Coturnix japonica: one gene and its partner. The main gene of each other region encodes a partner of the protein of the gene in region 2 in a complex. Links are inferred from orthologs where the notes say so. Each region holds a gene or a part of one and is shown on either strand. Other genes may lie near its edges.

Evidence for each region.
Region 1: the proteins of PAWR (region 2) and SPSB1 are in contact, whole or in part, in a crystal structure (PDB 2JK9), measured with the Homo sapiens proteins. The link is inferred for Coturnix japonica from reciprocal best matches to the Homo sapiens genes PAWR and SPSB1. Residues at the interface, in NP_001341661.1 of Homo sapiens: Glu68, Leu69, Asn70, Asn71, Asn72, Leu73, Pro74; in NP_079382.2 of Homo sapiens: Arg77, His78, Pro79, Val80, Ala81, Gln82, Gly110, Thr111, Tyr129, Val216, Trp217, Gly218.

The regions. Positions count from the first base shown.
Region 1 is NC_029536.1:2,839,931-2,843,733, reverse strand, and holds part of SPSB1 (SPRY domain-containing SOCS box protein 1), read right to left. Parts: coding exon 3,397-3,803; intron 683-3,396; coding exon 555-682; 3' UTR 1-554. UniProt on the Homo sapiens protein: Substrate recognition component of a SCF-like ECS (Elongin BC-CUL2/5-SOCS-box protein) E3 ubiquitin-protein ligase complex which mediates the ubiquitination and subsequent proteasomal degradation of target proteins.
Region 2 is NC_029516.1:35,911,949-35,916,507, forward strand, and holds the start of PAWR (PRKC apoptosis WT1 regulator protein), read right to left. Parts: upstream 2,805-4,559; 5' UTR 2,678-2,804; coding exon 2,210-2,677; intron 1-2,209. UniProt on the Homo sapiens protein: Pro-apoptotic protein capable of selectively inducing apoptosis in cancer cells, sensitizing the cells to diverse apoptotic stimuli and causing regression of tumors in animal models.

The DNA of each region.
Region 1 (3,803 bases), on a different chromosome or scaffold from region 2:
CAATACAACCACCTCCTCCAAATTAAGCATCCTGGTGGAAGGGTTCTTGGTTTTGGTGTCAGGGTTTTTTGGTTTTTAAGAACTCAGCAATGATTTCCTCTTGGTATTCCAGACTCTTCCCAATTCCACTGGCCACCCCATGCCTTTCCATTCTTAGCACCTAGTCTTAAGATATTCACTCTTAGTGCCTTCCCTTCCCCAGCCTACGTTCTTCCCTTAAACTGATATAGAAGGGCCCACTCCCAGGCTCTAAGATCCCAAGGATGCAGTGCAGCCTTTTATCAGTAAAGCAGGGAAGCACAGAGCTTCTGTTAAGTTTCCTTCTTTAAACTGTGCTGGGGAAGTGACTTCCAAGGAACAAAACAGTCATGAAATAAAGACTACTCGAGAGCTTGCCAATAAGGGCACATGGAGATTTTTTTAGCAGTAACAGGAGTACTTTGGCCAAGGATTTCCAACAGTAGCAATGACACAAGGGTCGCAAACCCACTGTCCAGTGGGTCAGCTCCAGACATTTTGCCTTGCTTTCAACTCTCTGTCCCAGAACACGAAGGTCATTGGTAGAGCAGGTAACTCTTGAGGGAGGCTGGCAGTGGCAGGGTAGGGATCTCATTCAGTCTTTCCTTGCCCAGAGCAAGCCTCACAGCTCGTCGACACAAGTCCATCAGAGGCAGTGGTTCAGCTGGAAAAGAGAAGACACGAGACATTAACATCTCAACCTACAAGCTACGTATTCATCTTGTTAACTCTAAAAATCCCTCCCACCCCCCACAAAAACTGAACAAGATGAGCAGATGCTTGTTCACCAGACCCAAGCAATTCAGCATTCACAAATCAGCAGCTTCAGCTCATCTAATTTGGCATCTTGTGAACTAATTGAACAAGATGATACTAGTTTTTCAGGCAGGGTATATGGGGTCCTTTGTTGCTGAAAAGTCATTTGTAGCATAAAAGAGACAGAGGTCAGAGCCAGAGTGAACACATCACATCTGCATGGAAGGAATATACAGATCACCAACAGAAGCAGTGAGAAGCCAAGCCTGTCCTAGCTCACCTGCACACAGCACACTGCTCAAAGGGAGGGGGTTCCTCCTCCACCAAGAGACAGCTAAAACAAGGGCATCCTAAGCCAAATAGGCAACTGGATATCCTTCTAATAGCCTGAGTGCTCAGCATTAGAAAGCTTAGAGACATCTTAGGCCAAACACACCTAAAGACTTGCATTTTTTGTGGATAAGTTTGGCTGAGAAGCTGCAGTTTTCAGAAACTTTGATAGATGCCAACCAGCTTCAGCTTCTACTACAACCCAAATTAATCTGATTGTTCACGCAGCTGCTTTCAGCTTTCCTGGTCTCTCTGCTGTTGATTTTCTAAGCATGATCACGTTACTGTATTTCTTACCAGTCGGTCAATAAAGTGGACAAAAATCCCTTCCTCTAAGATTCATGGTTAACAACTAACACTGGAAAGCTCACATAGAAGTGTTGTCAGTAGTCACTATGTGTTTTTGTTTGTTTGTTTGTAGCAGTTCCCCAGAGTCGTCCTTATGCTTCAAGCATTATTAATGAGGCATCATACCTCTCTAAGTGCACCTCTCCTGCAAAAATAGGTGGGTGGAAAGCAATCAAACAAATCTGTCAGGGCAGTGCTGCTCCTTCCCAAGCCCTACAATTTGTCACCCATGTTCTATGCTGGAGAGTAGCCCCAGGGCTGCTCAGTGCCTTCCTGCAGAGCATAGCTACACTCAGCCCAAGGCACTGCCGCTCTTGCCTGCTCATGACCTACTTCAAGATCCATGCTGCCTCTTTGGCAGGCACAGGTCTCTCTGTACAGCAGGACTACACGTCTCAGTTCTGGCTGCGATACTACCAGAGAAACTTATTACTGGCAATACTCCTTTGGCACTTGCCAGTGTAGCTTACCCTTAAAAATTGTACCCTCTGAAGTACAAACGTACTCTATTCCAAATCTGTCCCAACACCTCTTGCTCCGTATGGAGATAGCTGGGACTGAGATTATCTATCCAGAGGCCAGTAGCCATAGAGAACTGGAAAGTCTGGACTTTCAAAGCCGACAGGCATCAACTTAACAAATAATTCCCATTTAACAGTCTTAAAAGCTGAGAAGATCATCTTCCCACAGAGATTAAGAACTTTGTCCTCATCTAGTTTGCACTGATAATCCAGTCTTTGCAAAGATAGACCAGAAGAGAAAGCACACACATATCTGACCTTCTTCCATTCACAAGCACTACAAACGCTGGACACAGTGCAGCTATTGAACGCTGAGAAGTGGTTAGAGCCAGACACCTTCTTTCTGTGTGTGCCAAAATAGCGTCCTGTCATTCCTGGCCTTACGCCCATGATTCACTCCTATGCCGAGAGCACATTACAACCAAATCCAATACAGGAGGTGGCTGTTTCCCTGTTAAGTGCAGTTCTGCACAGACAGCTCCACAGACTTGCTGGCTCTGAAAGGAGCTGCAAGTTTTAGATCTGACCCTCCCAAAAACCTGGTTACTGGAGCTGCTGCCATTCTGTAAGCTGTTGTGGCAGGATAAGCTTGGTTCTTTCTTTTTGTTGGTGAGAAAATGCTTTGCCAAGAGCTCTCAAGTTCAGAAGACTGCAGTTCTCCAGTGTTATTCAGCCTCTCCTGCTCTAAAAGCTCATCTGCTAAAATGCTGATGGAAAGAAGGCTGACTGCAGGAAGAAAAAAAACATTATGGAAAGAATACACCTTTTACTGAGCATTAAGACAGTTTTTCAACATCCCTACAGTAAGCAAATACTTCCTTTGACTTCTGCAAGTTCCTTAAAGTAACTTCCTCTGAAGTGTCAGTGAATAGCTATAATGCCACTGGATAAGAACAAATAGTTGTCTAACAGAAGCATTTAAGCAGCAGGAGATGCTATACAGCCCTTTTTCCTTGGTCTGACCAGGATGTGTTGCTTTCTACCCACATTAAGACAGGACACATGAAAGATAAGACTAGCACATATGGGCCAGCCGAACCTATTACTAAGCTTAGCAAGGGATTGATGATACTATTAGTAAAAGACCTAGCATGCAAGTTGGCCTGGCTACAGTATCCAGCCCCCACACTAGAAATGAGAACAGCCTGCCATGAAAGAAGCAAGCTACTTTCTTCAAAGATGAGACATTCCATTTCCTCAGACAGGGATCAATCTTCCCACTCCTTCCTGTAGGGAATTTTCAAAGTCCTTTCATAAGGCATTGCAAGAACTGTCCCTCAGAGACCCTGTAAAGAAGCACCAGGATTATACTGCAAACACTGCAACTATCATCAGGAACATCCTTTTTTTTGGACATTTTGGTAGCACATTTAAGTAGCACACAGATTTGAGTCACTAGAACAAATACAGAGGTTATACTCACGGTCAAGTCCATTCAAGTAGCGCATCCTTATTTCACAGTGTCCCCACACTGCGCTCACCACTGGGTACAGCTTTTTCCCTTTAAGTCCCCGAAAGGCAACACCCATATATTGCCCATCCACAATGAAACTCAGCGTCCCATCATCCATGTCCAGAACCACCAGGAAGGAATCCGGCACAATGAAAGTTTCATCTGGTTCTAGGAAGGCAGGGTAGGTTTTACTTGGCTGGTTCTTGCCGTCGTGGTACAGTCTGTTGCGCCCAAGGTCCCATCCCCATGATTCATGGTTATTTCCTACAAGTGTGGTGTACCCTACAGAATGCAAAGGGGCGTCTGCTGTTGCCACCCCTACCACAGCATGTGTGCCTCGCTGCCGCATCGCCCACGTTATCTGCCACACATGCAGT
Region 2 (4,559 bases):
TTTCAACAATACAAGACAACCTAAACTTTAACTTTCCATCACTTTTCATAACGTTCAAGTTTCCAAATGTATTACAACAGAAATTAGGTTCTGTTTCATTAGTGGTGAAAACCACTCTTGTATTCTTTTCCAGGCCAAGAAGCTCCCGGGCAATAAGCATCTCCCACAAGCGGCCTTCCAGTACCTGAAGGGAGCTTTAAAATCACAAGAGAAGCCGACTTTTTACATAGTCTGATAGTGATGAGGCAATGGGGAATGGTTTTAAATTAAATAAAGGAGATTTAGGTCAGGTGTTAGAAGAAGAATCTTTATTCAGTGGGCAGTGACACAGCTGCCCAGAGGAGGTGTGGATGCCCCATCCTTGGAAGCACTTAAGGCCAGGCTGGATGGAGCCTGAGCTGCTGGGTGGCAGCCCTGCCCACAGAAGAGGGTTGGAACTGGATGGGTTTTATGGTCCCTTCCAACCCAAACCGTCCTATGACTCTATGAAACTGGAGTGCTGTAGACTGCATGCTCAGTTATTCCAAGTCATCATCTACACCACAGCCTTCTTTTGTCCAAATTCAGTGTCACCATCAGAATGTCCAGTGAACGTAAACTGAGCGTAGTGAATCAGTGCTTTAGAGCATTCCCTCTGTGACTAAACAGAAAGACAGTGCAAATAAGACATTCATTGCTAAGTAGTTATTCATATTTGACAGTGGGCTTCTGAAGTTATGTACCATTGGGAATGACTTGGTGTCCATAGTTAAATAACGCTCAGGAATGCAGGCAGTAATGATTAAAAACATCTAATAAATGTAAAATACTTAAAAGAAGGAGCTTTGTGTAAAGCCATGCCTGTCAAGGCACAGCACTTAGTAGCAGCGAGTCTCTCCAGTAACACCCTGTGTGACAACCAGCTGCATTTATTGACACGGGACCCTACAAAGGCCATGGGGATGTTAATCTCTGGTTTCAGACAGCAGCGATATGGAGAGAAGTTTGCAAGGAGTCAGGCCTCAGAAACACAAGGCTGAGGAGAGTTGGGCTTCTCAGTGCCCAAGTACCTCAACCACGACAGCCATCCTAACAAGGCAGCAGCAGCTACAGCAACAAACTGACACGGATGATTCCAATGGTTGCTGAGCAAGGAACGTGCATTCCTGGAAAGCAATGAATCCTCAGAGCAACATTCAAACAAAACAAAACAAACCCAACAAACAAACATGAAACCCAACCACCAGCACACCCCAAACCGCACCACCCGCAGCCACAGAACAGCAGCTCAGAACACAAGTTCAAAGCAGCAGGACACACCAGTCACGGGGAGAGGGGAAAAGGGGAAAGGCCGTGACTGGAGTTTGGGGGTGCAGAAGAGGCCCTAGAAGGGGCTGCAGTGTGCAAAGCCCCTACGAAATAGAGCAGGGCTAGTTAGGAGCACAAGGTGGGTAGAGGGGAGCACACAGAGCACATCAACCATCTGAGCCTGGGCAGCTGGCAGGTTCTGAAGCCAGAGAGCTGAGAAACTCACCACACTCCTTCCCAAAGCAGGAAGACCCACACCCACACATCCCAGAGTAGGCTCTGCAAGTGCAGGACCAACCCCTGCGAAACACAGCTCCAAACACTGCCACTGCTCGTACCACTCACTGTTCATCTCCCAGCACCTCCCTGCATTGAAGCGATCGCCACGAGCGCGTTTATGGGATTGAAACAAGTGTTAATGACTCCGGGGCTGCAGAACACAACTCCACCCCCTGCTACTGCTGCAGGAGCACTTTTACTGCCGTTCCGACCATCTGTACCATTAACCAGAGAAAACAGATTGCACGGTTTTCCCTACAGTGAGATAAACCACCAGAATTAACGCAACACTGCGAGTAAAACACAACTTTGTTTCAAGTTTTCCTATTAACTGAGGGGGGGGGGGGGAAGCAAAAGAAAAGCTGACGGCTCGGTTATCATTCTTCCGAATTCCTCTAGGAGCATTATAGCTCAGCGCCAGTAGCGAGCCGCAGAGGACAGCGGTGTTGGCTGATAAAAAATACCTTCCTCTGCCCTCAAAAAACGCTCCTTCAACCACATTATTTCCAGAGAAGGGAATATTTTGGGGTTCCAACGGGCTGTTCACACCTGAGCACCCACTCGGAGCCCTGACTCCGCCGCACACCTGGGCTGCCCCGCAGCGCCCCGTTCCCGCTCGGGTCTCACTCCCCGCCCCGCTCACCTCGGCAGCCGGGATGTTCACCACCCCCGTGGATCTCCTTTTCTCCCGCAGCTTTCTCTTCTCGATCTGCCCCTTCCCTTTCCTGGCGCTGGGGCCGGAGCTCTTCCCCTTGGCCGCCGGCTTCTCCTCTCCCTCGGGGGAGCCGGGCGCTCCGGCGGCGGGCGGTAGCTTGGCGGGCTCCCTGCCGGCAGCGGGGCCCTGTGGCGGCGGCTCCTTGCCGGGCACGGCGCGGCCCGGCCCGAGGCAGTTGTTGGCCCCGCCGGCGGGGGGCGTTAGAGCGGCGGGCAGGTGTTGGTGCGGCTCGGCCGTGGTAGGACCCGCCGCCGGCCTGGCCTCGGCCCCCGCCGCCGCAGCAGCAGCAGCGCCGGGTCCCGTGGGCGCCTGCTTGGCCCGCATCTTCTCCCGCTTGGCTTTCCACTCCTCCAGAAAGTCCGTGGTGCTGCCGCTCCGGTAGCCGCCGGTCGCCATGTTCGCGGCGGGGTGGATGGCGGGAGCGCCCCGCAGCGCCTCCGCCGCCGCCCGCCCCGAGGCGGCCGTGCCGCTGCCCGCGGAGGAGCGCTCCCGGCGGGGCGGACGAGACGGGGGCGGGGAGAGAGGCCGGGAGCGACGCGAACACCCTGGGCAGAGACAAAAGGGGCCGTCAGGCGTCCCGCCGCGCCGCCCGTCCCGCCCTGCCTCCCGCCGAGCCCCCCCTCCCCGCCCGGGGCTCCGCTCCCCATCACCGCCGCCCCGGCTCCCCCCGCGCCCGCCCTCACCGCGCCGCCCGCTGCCGTGCCCGCCCGACGCCGCTGCCGGGGCCGGTCGGCGCGGCGGGGGGGGCGAGGCGGGTCCGGGGGGCGCTCACCTCCCGCCCGGCCCGAGGCGGCCGATCCCCAGCGCCGGCGGCACCAGGTGAGCGGCACCACCCCCCGCCCGCCCGGAAGGAGCGGCGCCGAGCCACGGGCTCCCCCCCGTTCGCCCTCCCATTTCTCCATCGCGGAGCGGACGGAGCCGAAGCGAGGGCGGAAAGTGCCGAGGTGACCCGCGGCCGGGCCCGTCACCTGCCCCCCGGCTCTCGGCCGGGGCCGCGCTGCACCTGAGTCCGGCCGCACCTCCCCGCTGCCCCCCGCTGTACGCGCTTCTCCCCACACGTCTGCACTCGGGGTCCCCGTCTGAAGGCAGGAGGATGGGAACGGAGCGGCTCCGCGTCTTCGTTTTGTGGCTTGGAACGAGGACATGGGGAGGGGGGGTCCGGGAGGGATCTCGGTTGGTGACGCTGCAGCCCTCGGCTCACAAATGTCGCTGGGTTGGAAACGGCGAGAACGCGTGTAAAGAAGGAGTGGGGCTGAAGTCTGAAAGTATTCGTTATATGGGCGAAGACACGGTAAAACCTGTCTGCAAAGCTCTGCTTTCACTTGAATTTGCAGCGGCACAACAGCCCCAAGCGCCTGATGGGAGGCTCCTGCAACCTGCCGTGCTATCCATGGCCAGGGCTGCTTTAGCCCTGCGCCTCTCTGCCCTGTGCTCACCCCACCGACCTTCAGTGCCCCTCTGCTGATGGCTCCTTCGCTTGGACTTTCTGCTTCTGTCTCATTTCTGCTCTGGTTGGTGCTTAGGGCTTCTCTGGGTGCAGCAGTTTTGTTCTAAAGCATTGCTCAGTGCCTGGAGCACCTGGGATGCTGGGCTTTTCCATGCAGAAGACACCTCTAGCCTTGCTGGCTGACAGCATGGCCCAAACAGAGCAGGTTGTTGTTCTGTGTGACACCAGGAAGCCATCAGCAGGTGGAAAGGATGACTTGGCAGAGCCAAGTTGGTTGTATTTCACTCTAACAGATTGATTAACAAAAGGCTGATTTAAGAGAAGTTCTGATTGAGCTCCCCCCTATCCTCAGAAAAACCTTTTAACCTTCACTTTACCTTCACAGTTACAAAAGCACGGAGCTCTGTTTGCAGAAAAAGCAACTTAGGTGAAAGGACCCATCGTGTCAGTTCTCAATACGATCAACCACAGAACCATTAAGGTTAGGAAAGGCTGCCCAGATCACAAGTCCAGCCATCACCATGCCCCGCCGTGCCCACATCCCTCCCTGCCATATCCACACAGTTCTCACAGAATCACAGAATGACCCGGGTTGGAAGGGACCTCAAGGATCATGTAGTTCCAACCCCCTGCCTGGCAGGGCCACCAAACATACACACACACATTCTCCAACGCCTCCAGGGATGCTGACTGCACCACCTCCCTGGGCACCCTGTGCCACTGCCTCCCACTTTGTCTGAGTAGAAATGTTTCCTAATACTCAACCTGATGAAGATTGAGAGAATCACACTGGTGTGACAATGCCGGTGCTTCACCCCTGCACACCTGGCT